Oryzias latipes: one gene and its partner. The protein of the gene in region 1 interacts with the protein of each later gene in a pairwise test. Links are inferred from orthologs where the notes say so. Each region holds a gene or a part of one and is shown on either strand. Other genes may lie near its edges. The genes, in order: prkg1 and mrvi1.

Region 1 (6,419 bases):
ACATCCTAACAGATTCACACAAATACTCCTTTGTATTGCAATAAAGTGAAGGCACGCAGATTGAAAGCACATTCTATATAATGTTTACTTGAAAACGGATGCTTAAAAATATTCCGGGTTAAATGGAAAAACTTGCCCACCATCTGGGTTTTAACACAGTTTTTGCTTGTTAGTATGTGCTGAGAGTGATTGTGAACTAAATGGGCCACTTGTGCAGCGACAGTTCACAAACCTGTTCAGGAATTCAGTGCACTCCCGCCAAAAGCTATTTCAGCTGGCAAACATAGCAAATTAATCTAAGCAGACTGAAGTGTATTGGAATGCATTTTATTTAATGCCGTGGTTTGCTGTGCATCATGACTTGAGCATCACTATAGCAACCTGAATTTTTCAGGTTTTTAAAAAAACATTTTAAATATCTTTCAAATACATTCCTTGTTTTATAGTTTTTATTAAAAATATAATAAAAGAAATAACATACAAAAATGAAAACAGAGGATGGCTGATGGGATTGTAGAATCTGATTTTTTTTTTTTTCTCTGCCAGGTTTATAGAGTGTGTTGATTGCTCTTATGTCAATAATTAGATGATAGCTGCATTCAGGAAGGGGAAACAAAACAAAAAATAATAACAGGATATTAAAGAAATGGATGGGGCTGGCAGTAAACACAGTTTACAGTGTGACAAAGTAAAATAATCAACTTGGAACTCAGGCAGCAGAATAGTCTTTGAGCGTGTCACTCCCTCTCAGAGGGTTTCTGTTGGATTATCAAAGCACATTCTGTCAAAAACCTCCTTGATGAATTGGATACAATGCAGCATATTTTCAGAGATAAAGATCATACAATTTGTTGCATCAGCAACAATTACGGTAGTTTCTGAATTTGTTGATTGGTGTTTTCACAACAAGCACAGACTTATCGAGCAAACTGGGTTTAAAAAAGCCATGTTATCATCTAGAAAGTGGTCCAGGGTGTTCCCTGCCTTTTGCCCAACAGTAGCTTGATAGCCTCCAGCAACCCTGTGACCCTGAACTGGACATAAGGGTCGAAAATGGATAAGTGGATGTTAAGAATACAGCTCTAAATACTGTGTAGCTACTTCTGTTTTCTTTGGGGAGTTATAAGAATCTTTTATTGACAGATGTTAGTACACTGGACCCAAGGATAGAAGTTGAATTGTCCTTAACAAGAATTGATCCTCTTTCCTTAAATTTCTTGATCCTATAAGTCCAATTGGCCTGAAGAAAAGAAATGGACAATCCTAAATCATAAAGAAATGTTGGATGCATTGAAATATGCATCCAACATACATTTTAGTAACGTAATTTTTTTAAAATAACTTAGGTTTTATGGTTCAAAATACCAGTAGAATTAATGGTGCTGTGACATTCTTAGGAGAAAAAGTGTGATGTGGCATTTGAACCACACAATTCACGAAAAAGAAATTCTTTGATTAAGCGGTCACCAAATTACTTTCTGTACGGTTTACATTTAACACATTTCCTGCCTCAATTCAGGTGATAAATGAAATGGCAAATGTTAACCTCTGTGAAAATCTAGTTTCCGGTCTGAAGTAAGTTTTATCATGCAGGAGGATCAAATTGAAAGCTTTTTGCTGGAAAACCCAAACTGACACGATACTTTGTGAACCTCATGATTGTTTCTTAAACACACTGAGCCACTTGCCTCTTTCTTTTCCACAGTTTATTTTGATCATTGCATTATAAGATGTCACATCTGACATGTTTAGTCTCTTTATCCATCAAAACATTTACCCTTTAGCTTGGTTCATCGTTAAAAAACTGCTTAAAGTGGTGGTTCTGACTAAAAAGCAGGTGCATTCAGTTTCCATTAGTTTGTATGTCATTCCTGTGCTTGAATGATGAGTCAAGAGCCCGTTGCATGCTGTGTTACATTCCACTGCCCTCAACCCTTAGCAGAAGTGCTGTGGGTGTAAAAAACACATTTATGGATGGATATCCTCTGTTTATGTATTCTTGCGACTGACCTCTCTTTTTCCTTTTATAGTAGATGCAAAAACATTCGTTTATTTATTTATTTTGTACCTGATTCCTCACATTAAAAGGTTGCAGTGCATACCAAAGCAAGCAGTGGGCGGAAAGCAGCAACACAGCTTTCAACCAGACAACGAGTCTAGTTATGCTGTATTGCATTGCTCTAGTCTAGATCATCTTAACTCCCCTCATAAAAGTGTTTAGACACTGCCTTACATGCTAGGTGAGAAAAAGGGTAAAACAACCACAATGAGCATAAATAACATTTCCCTTCTTTGGTCTTGCCCCCCCCCCCCCCTTTTTTTTTTTTCTGCCAGACGCACTATGCAGGAGGAGAGTACATCATCAGACAGGGAGCCAGAGGAGACACCTTCTTCATTATCAGCAAAGGAAAGGTGAGGACAGCCCCGTGAGGCTGCAACCTCGATATAATCCTCATCGGAAGGCAAGGCATCGTGTCACATGAAAATGCCTGTCTTTAAAAGCAAAGAGGTGGCATTTTTAGCTGTCATCAATCACCGAGCGATAGAGGAGAAGCACATCCTCTTTCATCATTCCTTACAGCAGCAGTGGGAGTTTCTAGAAAGCAGAATGGTGTCACTTTGATTTTCCTTTTCAGTAATCAACACTGGCTTTTTCACTGAGCACAGTACTGTCTAGAAGTCACATCACCGCCTGTGGGCTTTCACATGTATTTCACACCACGATGGTTGCCAGTATTCTTTCTTTCTTCTAGCTTTTCTTGAATTCAGCAATTTTTTTTCCACCCCGCACATCAAGCAAGAACGTATTTTTCATTTTTCATTTTATAGGGACATGCTTATCGACGACAAACAGCTGTTCTTTCTGCTGGTAGTCCCTCTGAGCCTCAAAAGGCAGAAGTTGTGGGAAACTAACATTGGAAGTGTGGAGGGAAAAAAAAAAAAACTTCAACTTATTTTTAAATCCAAACAGAAAAAAAATTCACAAGCTGTCAAATCCTTTGACTCAGGTCACTTCATAGCCCAGAGCAAACAGATTAGCTCATAAATACCTGGACTGAGACATGAATGTCCGGACTTTACCGATGTTGCCTACTTCAGTAGTAGATTTACTCTGCAGCAAATCTTCCTTTTTTATTTTTTATGTTTTTTTTCCCCTGCTGTTACTTGATCGTACAGAATCGCTGTTAATTTTGTTGTCACTCAGCTGCGTGTCATTTTTGTATGCTGGCGGTGGACTTCCTGCTACACCTAATGGCTTAAGACAAGATCCTTCATTGGGCGAAGGGGTAATCTCATCCACTTCTTCGAAAATATGCTCAAGTGTCATTCCTTTGATTTGTAGAGTCTTGGGGCACAGCAGAGGGCCGTCACTCGCGTGTAATCTCCCTAATGAAGTGGTCAAGCGTTTGCTCAGGTCCTGCACAGTAATGACTCTTATCTGTTTGTAACAGACTCTGCTCAGGAATGTCTGCCACCTCTGTGTGCAATTCAATTCACTCTGTTTTTACCTCATCCTCTCGAAGCCACGCTTGTCTTTTCTTTAACTTTCCACCCGCATTGCCCTTTTCTTTTCAGGTTAATGTGACCAGAGAAGACTTGCCAAATGGAGAGCCTGTCTACCTCCGCAGCCTTGGGAAGGGAGACTGGTTTGGAGAGAAAGCACTGCAAGGGTGAGATCTCTTGAAATACCTACGCTTCCGATCCTATGAATTTCAATTTAGTATATTTACCTATTCTGTTAAATATCTTCTACTTCAAACTACTAAGTAGGGAGCCATATAACATTTGGTAAGTGACGCTGACTATTAAATGAGTTCATAAGTGTGTCAAACCAAAACTTCTGCACTAAAAAGAGGTTAACTGAGTGTTCTTGCACTATAGATTTGTTAGAATAAAAATTATGCCATAAATTTGAAGCTGAATGCTCATGTATTTTTATTCCCATTAGTACAAACAACTATAAGAGTTTAGCGTCAATCCCTTTTGCATGAGAGAAAAACAAAAGACAGAATTAATGAGAAACTAAAAAAAAAGGCAATAGTGATCCCTCACAGCCACAGTAACATCTGTGGTTTTTGCCTATATTTATTTCTAGCAGACAAGAAACTAGAGGCAAGAAGTCACTTAATGTGACAGAAATGTTGCATTTGTGTACCCATTGGAACCTCATTTCATTTGGTGAAACACGTCTTTTGTCTTTTCTTCTCAGTTCATTTCTTGGATGCCAAAGCTTTGAGAGCAAAAAACCTTTCAACCTAATCCTCAGCTGCTTTAATTAATTTTTTGCCTCCTTCCTCCATAAACAATTATATGAAATGCTGCATGTTTCTGGCGTTGCAGAAGAATTAGATTAAATGTGTGCAAAATTAAACATGATTTTCAATTATCCTTTCATAAAAAGCATGTGTTTTTAGAAAAACAGACCCTAAATCAGAAAAAGCTGAAATATGACCAAATTCTGGATGTTTTAGAACATGACGACAGAACTTAAACATGTAGGTAAGCTGGTCTGCTTTTGTTTCTTCAGTAAAAAAAAACAATAAACAAGAAAAGTCATCTTATTGGACACTGAAGGACACAATACAGTAAACCACTTGATTTCCTCAATAAAAAACATTATATTGTTTTCTGAGAAGGTTCAAAACGCATTAAAAAGCTAATTAAAAACATTTGAGCTCTGAATATCTGGACTCTGCTCCTTTCAAAATTGCTTCAACATGCAGTAATTTAGGACACCTGCTCCAAAGCATTTTTAGGATCATCTGTAGAGTATTAAGTCATCTTTAAATTGCTTTCAGCATCAAAGACGAGCACCCAAAAAAACACATTTTCCTCCTTTTCATGCCATTTGTCCGCTTCTTTGCAGCTCCTGAGTTGATGTGCTATTTAGACAATTGACAGAGAATAATCATGAGTGGATTATCGCTGTATGAGCAGTAAGGAATAAACAGGAGACAGGCTCCTGCATATTCATTTTGAGCACAAAGGTGACAAATGAAGGGAGTTCAAATAAATGGAGATGATGCCATCTTGTGGCCAAAGGTCATGTACAATGTAAAGACCTCATGCAAATGCTGACTTCAAGCAAAATTATGTACAAAAGCAACTTGACCTTAGTAGCCGTTTCAAACATTGATCTTGATTGTTTGCTAAAGTAGTGCCCAATCTAATGTACAGGAGATGGACATCTGGAAAGCTCCGACATATGCAAAAAAAAATCTGACTTTTGGACAGAAAAAGATGGCAGGAGTTGCAAAGCAGCTGAATACTGAAGTAGTTTTGTGGACATTATGTTCTAAGGAGAAATTTGGGTCAGTACTGTAATAAACTCACCAGTTTTTTTTTGTGTGGAACTATTTGTTCAGAGTAGTGATTAATCACAAGTCTTTCTCGCTTTTATCTGGTTTTAATTTAATAAAAATTGCCTACATGATGTCTGTCCAAAAACCTTAAATCTTTCAATGTAGATGTATGTTGTTGAGCATTTTAAGCGTTTCTCAGAAAAGATTTGAAGCACTCTGCATTGTTCTTCAAAGCACGAAAAAGAGCCCCTCATTGTTTGGCTTAAATAAAGAAAATCATACTTTTTCATGTAAGAAACCCCTTCACATTTCCATTGTCTCTTGCCATAAACACCTTTTTGTCTTGGAGTGTCTTGAGCTTGAGGAGCTTATTCAGCTGCACCTTTGATAGTCAAGCATGTGTCGCACATTCAAATTCAGGAAGCCTGGCCCATCTTCGCACCAGGCTTTTGATCAGAGGACTCTGTCGGGTCGTCTTTCTAATTAGTTAACTGTGTGTCTTTGCTCATGAAACTCAATAACCTCTACAGAGAAGCTACTCTGGCCATCTGAAGATGTTGCCTTTGATCGGTGAGAACGTATTTTACAAATCAAAAGCTGTTCTTCTGGTAGCTTTCAAGGTTTAGATTGTGGGAGGGCTGGGCTGCAATGCATGTAAAGCTGGGAAACAAATTTAATGGTTTGAATTTGTTTTTACCTTTATCCTATTAAACTGAATGCACCATCAAGTCGACCAAGCATAACTGAGGGTCTGGAAATTCCCAAAGTATCCAACCATGCTTGTCCCTTGTGAATAAGCGTAAATCTTTTGCAGATCCACAGATCTATCTGTCCATCATATGAGTGGATTTGGTGTGTGAAAAATCAAGGACGTGTGTGCTATTAAAACAGCCTGGTGTCATTGACAGAGAAATAGGTGTCAGGGTCTGTACACCTTCTGACCAACAATAGCACTCTGATAAATTACCTCTACAATGTAGCGGGGAGTTAGTGTTGGCATGCCGTCACATCGTAAATCACATTCTTGTTTTTAAGGACTTTATTTCTGCCAGAAATACTCATTCAGATCTATTCACCAACTCCTTCATTGGTAACAAAAGTACAGAAACAGTTTTT
Region 2 (6,419 bases), on another chromosome or scaffold:
TGTGATTAAATGTAAACCCTATAATTGCCTCCTAACGCTATAACCGTAGAGTAAAATAGAGAAAACATGTTAAAAACATTGATTCCTATAGCCTATAGGCCCATTCAGATAACTATTGTTGTAAAAATTGGTCTACATAAATAAAATTGAATTGAATATAGGCAATAGGCAGCAGAAAAATACATTTTTAATTGATTTAGTCTTGGTTGGGTTGTTAAAGTATTATTAAAAACGTGAATTATCTGTGACCCGGTCCCAGATCAGCGGAGGAAGATGGATGGATGGATGGATGGATGGATGGATGGATGGATGGATGGATGGATGGATGGATGGATGGATGGATGGATGGATGGATGGATGGATGGATGGATGGATGGATGGATGGATGGATGGATGGATGGATGGATTATGAAATATTTTGTAGAATTTTTCTCTGTGTGATTCATATGGCCCTTATATTTGTAGGATCTTGGAAGTGACAGTGTCAGAGGGAATGTTGTAATAGTTTTGAGCAGTGGTTCAATTCCTACCGAGTTTGTTATAGTCCATTGTACAGGAGGATGAAGCTAATTGGGGATTTGTTTATGATATAACACTGAGGTATTTTTCATTTAGTCAGAGCTAGAAAGCAGGGGCTATTTTTGGGGAATTCCAGAATCAAATATAGAAGAAATGTTTCCTTTCTCATCCACTTTTGTGCATGCGGAAATACATGGGTTAGGTATGTGTTCCTGGTCTTACAGCTCTGGCAAGAAGAGAAACATTTGCTGCAGGGCTCTCCTCGTCACAGAGGAGATCTTAACTTCAAAAAAAGCTGTGGGTTCCGGCACACCAGCCCCTCACTCATCATGCCCACACTTCCCGAAGAAGATGAGGAATCTCCAGAGGAGATGGATAGCTCCTCCAGCTCTCCTAGAACAGTGAGTTCTGTCACATTCACACGCACATTTTTATGATCTATTTGGCTGTAGGACCAAAGTCCAAGGTGGATGCTTCATAAGTCTGAACTATGAAAGAAGTTTTTAAATGATTATTCATTGAAATGATTCTAAGAGCTGAGCACTATGTTATTTTATTCAACCAACAATGCTTTATTTCGACTGTCTGTCAAACTAAAGTGCAGCTGTGCATACAAACAAACACAAGCTAGCCATGCCATAAACTGAAGTAATGGCATTTGAATTGGTGCATATTTTACTGTTATGGCTTTATGCTGAATTAACTCCCTCATAATGTTTACAAATGAATCTTGTTGAGGGCTGATTTACAATCAGTCTTTGAAGACTACTTGCCTTTCCTCATGAATCTACCGGAGCTCTGCTGAGGTCCTCCGAAAGGATGTGAGGAATTTCAAAGCACACAAGCGAAATCAGTCAAATCAGCTGAGGTTTAAAGGCTTCTCTCTGTTTTTTAAGGGAGGCCATTTTTGTTCTTTGGACTGGGTTCCAAGTCTCAGCAAAATGGCAGCTTTGGGTCCTTTGAGAGCTATCTGTAACTCAAAGTCTTAGTTTAGATAGGTCTTCCATGACTAAATTCTTACTTATCTTAACCTCAGAGTTTATTTAAATAAAGAAAGAAAATGTGTGTGCATGACTCAAATCAACCATGAGTAATTTTCTTCATTTGCTTTTTTTTAGCAGCGTTTTATTTTCAGAGCTGCACTGCATTTCTCGATGCCATTTATAAGCAGTCTGATTTAGGCAAAAAAAATGTAAATAGGAAAATATTTACCTTGTTTTAGCACAGCATTTCTATACTTAACAGCATCTAAAACTGACTTTTTAAAATTAAGCCACCATAAAGTGTTTTTGGTGCCGTCCGTAAGAAACACATGAATCTCAAAAGTCATAATGAAGTTGGGAAATTCAAACTTGTGCTAAGCTAAGAGAATAAATGACAAAGCATGTTTGTTTACACATGTAAAATATATATTTATAAAGATTTCAACTAGAAATAAGATCATTAAAATCTTCTCCAGATGAAATAATGTATGACTGAACATTTTCCAACCTTTTCTAAGCCACAAGACACTGTGTCTCAACCCTGATGGTAAAAGTGAGTATAAAATGTAAAGAACTCAAGAGGCAGTATTAGCAGATGTTGGTATCTATGCCCTCCGATGATGTAACAAAAAGGCTTCAGCTACTACTTACAGTGAATGTCCCACAATGTTTTAATAGATTTTAATGTGTGTGATATAAAGTAAAGACTTCTTCAAATAAGGCCAAGAATGTGTTGTCTGAATATTTCAAGTACTTTACCACTGCAAAAAATAACAGATGGAATTTTCTGTAGCAAAACTGGAATTGATAAGCATGGAATGGATGGAAAGAAGGGCTGCATCCTGGACAGATTGTTGGTCCCCTACATATCAATATTTTATTACGTGATGCTCTAAGTTCCAATTGAACTAGCATCAGGGTGATTCTAGTTTATAAAAATGTGATCTTTCTAACTGAGAGTTGACTTCTTCAAACCTCTAACTTTTTGTCTGCTTCTCGGATTGGCATGTGAAGTTTTTCACTGACAGCAAACTTACAGGGTTTGGATCCTTTCAGGAAAGGAACTTTCAATCAGTTACGACAGTCAGCTCCTGGAACGACATTGTTTCTTTTTATTGTTATAATAAAAAGAAATGATTTATATGTTTAAGTGAGAAATGTAAAAACTGTTTCTAACAATAAAATTGTAACTAACTGGTTTTGAGGGTAGGACCTGGACTTGATGGCTGATAATGACAACAAAAAGACAAGAAATAAAGTTATGAAGAACTCCTTCAAGAAAACGTGCCATTACAAATGTCAATCATTACATTTCTGTCATGGCGGCTACAGTGAACGACAAGAACAAAGCCCTGATAGCTGAGAGGCCTGGCGTATTTTCCTATTTTTGACGCAACAACGGGTGTACTGTGAAATTAGCAGGAAAGTAAGCGCCAACACAGCCTTTTTGCAAATGCAAATCCTACATTCTAAATGATAAGCTCTGAAAGCAAAGTCTGCAGGTCTTTACAGTTGTTTACTATTCCTTTGTTTGATATATAATGTTATCAAAGAGCCTTGTATGTTGGGCCATTTGGAAATCTGATTACAACAAAGCGCATAGTGTCCAGTGAGCTGTGAGTCTTTGGGTATTGATGCCACAAATATCAAAACCCAATTTTAAAAAGTTTCAGGAACTTCTGTATTATTTGTCTAGTGATCGTCTGTCTGTTTTAAGCAAACACAAATGCTTTTTTTAATTTTTTTATTTACAGTCCACGCCCAGTGAATGCCAAACCATCGTGTTTGCAGCCCCCACAATCATCTACCCACAGCAGGTCACTGCTGAACAAGCTGATTGGCATTCTTTGGAACAGGCCAGGTAAAATAGCTTAAACTCAAACCATGATAAAAAGTTTTGTGTTTAATCTTTGTCTCTGGATAACATTTGTTGTATCAGACCACACAGTCCCAGAGCTCGCCTGGTTAAGAAGCCCTCTGGAGGACCCATCACCACAGTCGGTGGGTAGATCCCATAAATACACCCAGACATTTTGCAGCAGTAATTACTAAAAATAAACACTGTGAGAACAATTTGTGGCCGCCCAGCATCAAATTAAAGACACACACTGGGAGGAACGTTGCTTTTTTTTTTCAAGGGATGTTTTTAACTATTAGGTTTTGCTTTATAATGAGATGATAACATTTCTAATTCTGGTGATGAGATATTTTACCAATAATTGCTTAAAGGATCTCCTAAAAAACAAGAAAAAAAAGGGTTACTTCCCCCCAGGAGCCCGCAGAGGATGTGTAAACATCTGAGTCGTGTCCCTCTGTACAGACAGCACAGGTAATGTGATAGACCTACTGAGAGATCAGCTGCCAGAGCCACAGCTGTCCGAAGAGGATCGACAGAAGAACCTCGAGCTGCTGGAGCAGGCAAAAAAGGTCAGCGATCGGTTTCTGTCTCGCCGAGGACGTAGATCCACCAGCAGCCTCACAGAGTCCCCTACAGGTACTCCATGCAGAAACCCACACGTACACCAATGAATAACAGAGTTCAAGCACTGACTGCTTAAAAGATGTTAAATATTGTTGCAATACATTTCAAAAGTGTTTAATTTAAATTTGTGATTAAAACTAGTATGGATGACTTTCCCTCACAGCTCTTTCTCCTTGTCCAACTCCTCCATCTTCCTCACCATCTTCCTCAAGGAGCAGCTCAGTAATTGTGGCCCCTCAAACTGGTCTGTTCTCACTTCATATTTCTCAAACATCAAAAAAACAAAAACAAATCTGCTTCTACAAGTATAGTTTTCTTGATTCAGCGGATAACTTTCAATCAACCTAAAGCCACAAAGACCTTGTTTTTATTTTTTAAACTCATATTCTGCTCTTTTGTCTGCAGCAAGCTCAGAGATGACCCATGTCAGCTCCCAGTCTGCCTTTCAGGTTCATCTTTTTTGTTTGTCTATGACCTCTGTCTTTATGAAACAGGAATAATTCAGAGTATTTTCCCAAAAGTTCAATTGTTTTTCCTTGGCTAAAACAAGAAAGTGTACATTTTATTTTTTATTTTTTTATTTTTTTGTTGTCTGAAAATGAGGTTTATTAGCCCTTAAATTGCTTGGCTTCCCAGAAAGAGAGCTACCTGAGTCAGTTGTTGTTGATCTTGTATTTTTTCCTGCTGCAGCATCGTGATGTGCCGCTGGTGAGGGAGTCGTCTGATTCAAAGAGCAAGGATCTGGAGGTCAGAATGACAGACTCTCTACATGTTTTCCCATCTGTACACTAATGACTTGAACTAGAAGTGTCAAGGGTTTTATTTTATTGATTTATTGAAAAATAATTGTTTAGTTGAAGCTCCATCAGCTGAGAAAACGTTTTAGAAAAGCTCTGCAATTCCTGATTGCAGAAAGTAACTGCAGTTGCAAAGGTCAATCCAAAGGTAAAAGAAAAATCACTTTGAAATCAAGCTGTGATTATGTTGTACTAGTGGCCAACAGCCCATTCTAAACATCTGAATAGATGTGAATTGTTCATAACACAATCTTTTGTTTCCTTGCTGAACCTGAACAGCTGTTGGTGGAGTGGAAGCCCTCAGAGAAAAGAAAGGTGTCTTCTGGGACTTTAACGCCTCGGTTCTCTGTACAAAACGAGAACTGCGACCTTGCTGTGCCCAAGTGTTCCTCTGCACTTAGTAAAGCAGATGAAGTTTCAGGCCGAAACCTAAACCAAGCACCTGCCACTGGGGTGGCCAAGCCTGTCCCCAGGCCCCCTACTCAGCAAGCCCCCTGCACAGCAGAGATTAAGACAATTGGGGCCTTTCCACCACTGATGAGAGCTGTTTCCTGGGATGCTGTAGGCAGCATGAATTCCAGAAATGGATCCCCAAGTTTTCCTCCAACACTTGAAGACCCTCTCTCAGAAGAGCCCAGGGAAGCTGCGTTCAAGTCCTCAGGGTACAAGGATTTTCCCACACAACCAGGAGGTGTGCGCAAACTGACAAAGCTCAGAGAGGTAAAGTGCACATTTACTAAGCCCCTTGAAGGGATTTTTTTTACTGGTTTTCTGCATGATGAATGTGTTTGTGTCCACAGGAGCACAAGCTGATGCGTAACCAAAGCATTGTGGCGTCAAAGTTACCAGAACTTAGTGAAGCTACTGAACAGGAAAAAGGTAATGGTTACTATTTGTTGTTTTTTTTCTTGAAAGATCAAAGATGCAAAACGGTAAAAAAGGTAAAGGTAAAAAGTGCAGCATAAACCACCTAGCATCACACACACACAAAAAAATCGATTTTACACAAAAATCCGAGGATCTGCTCTGTTTTGTAAAAGAAAACACAAAATGCATTTTTATCTTCTGGCAGTAGATGGCATAATTGTTAAAGCAAAATTCAGTGCCTAACAATAAGAGACTAAGCTTTTTTACTTTGAAATAATAACACTTTTTGGTATATTCAAATTAAAGAGACCATAATAAGAATTGACCTATTTTTACATTAAACTTCATTCCTGTGTAAATAAATAAATAAACTATGTTGTGTTGTTATTGTTGTTTTCTCCACAGGACCTTTATCATCTTCAAAGTCAGCCAGCATTGAGGAAGGGAAGGAGAATGCCATGCCAAACATTTCAGACATGATGCTGAGAAAACTCAAACTCCATCGAGCTCTGCCAGGCTGGTGGGTAACAAATCAATTTGACTTTCATTATTTGATAACCAAAAATCTTTTTTGCTGCTTTGTTTTTAATAAGTATACTTAGGTACAGTCTAAGTACTCTATGTAAAAATGAAGTACACTCTAATTTGTCTAATTGACAATAATTTCTTCTGTTTCATACTAGTGCACCCCCACTCAGTGAAAAAGAAGTGGAGGTGGGTACCTATTCTGTTCAAGTGGTTCCATGTTAGTGAACTTGTGTGTTTTTCTGT

The links.
Region 2: the proteins of prkg1 (region 1) and mrvi1 interact in a two-hybrid assay, tested with the Homo sapiens proteins (2 studies listed by BioGRID). The link is inferred for Oryzias latipes from reciprocal best matches to the Homo sapiens genes PRKG1 and IRAG1.

What each region holds. Positions count from the first base shown.
Region 1 is NC_019873.2:20,227,949-20,234,367, forward strand, and holds part of prkg1 (cGMP-dependent protein kinase 1), read left to right. Parts: intron 1-2,334; coding exon 2,335-2,412; intron 2,413-3,576; coding exon 3,577-3,671; intron 3,672-6,419. UniProt on the Homo sapiens protein: Serine/threonine protein kinase that acts as a key mediator of the nitric oxide (NO)/cGMP signaling pathway. GMP binding activates PRKG1, which phosphorylates serines and threonines on many cellular proteins.
Region 2 is NC_019861.2:20,005,312-20,011,730, reverse strand, and holds part of mrvi1 (protein MRVI1), read left to right. Parts: intron 1-743; coding exon 744-920; intron 921-3,256; coding exon 3,257-3,363; intron 3,364-3,441; coding exon 3,442-3,503; intron 3,504-3,822; coding exon 3,823-3,996; intron 3,997-4,147; coding exon 4,148-4,228; intron 4,229-4,389; coding exon 4,390-4,433; intron 4,434-4,674; coding exon 4,675-4,731; intron 4,732-5,060; coding exon 5,061-5,501; intron 5,502-5,581; coding exon 5,582-5,660; intron 5,661-6,053; coding exon 6,054-6,168; intron 6,169-6,331; coding exon 6,332-6,362; intron 6,363-6,419.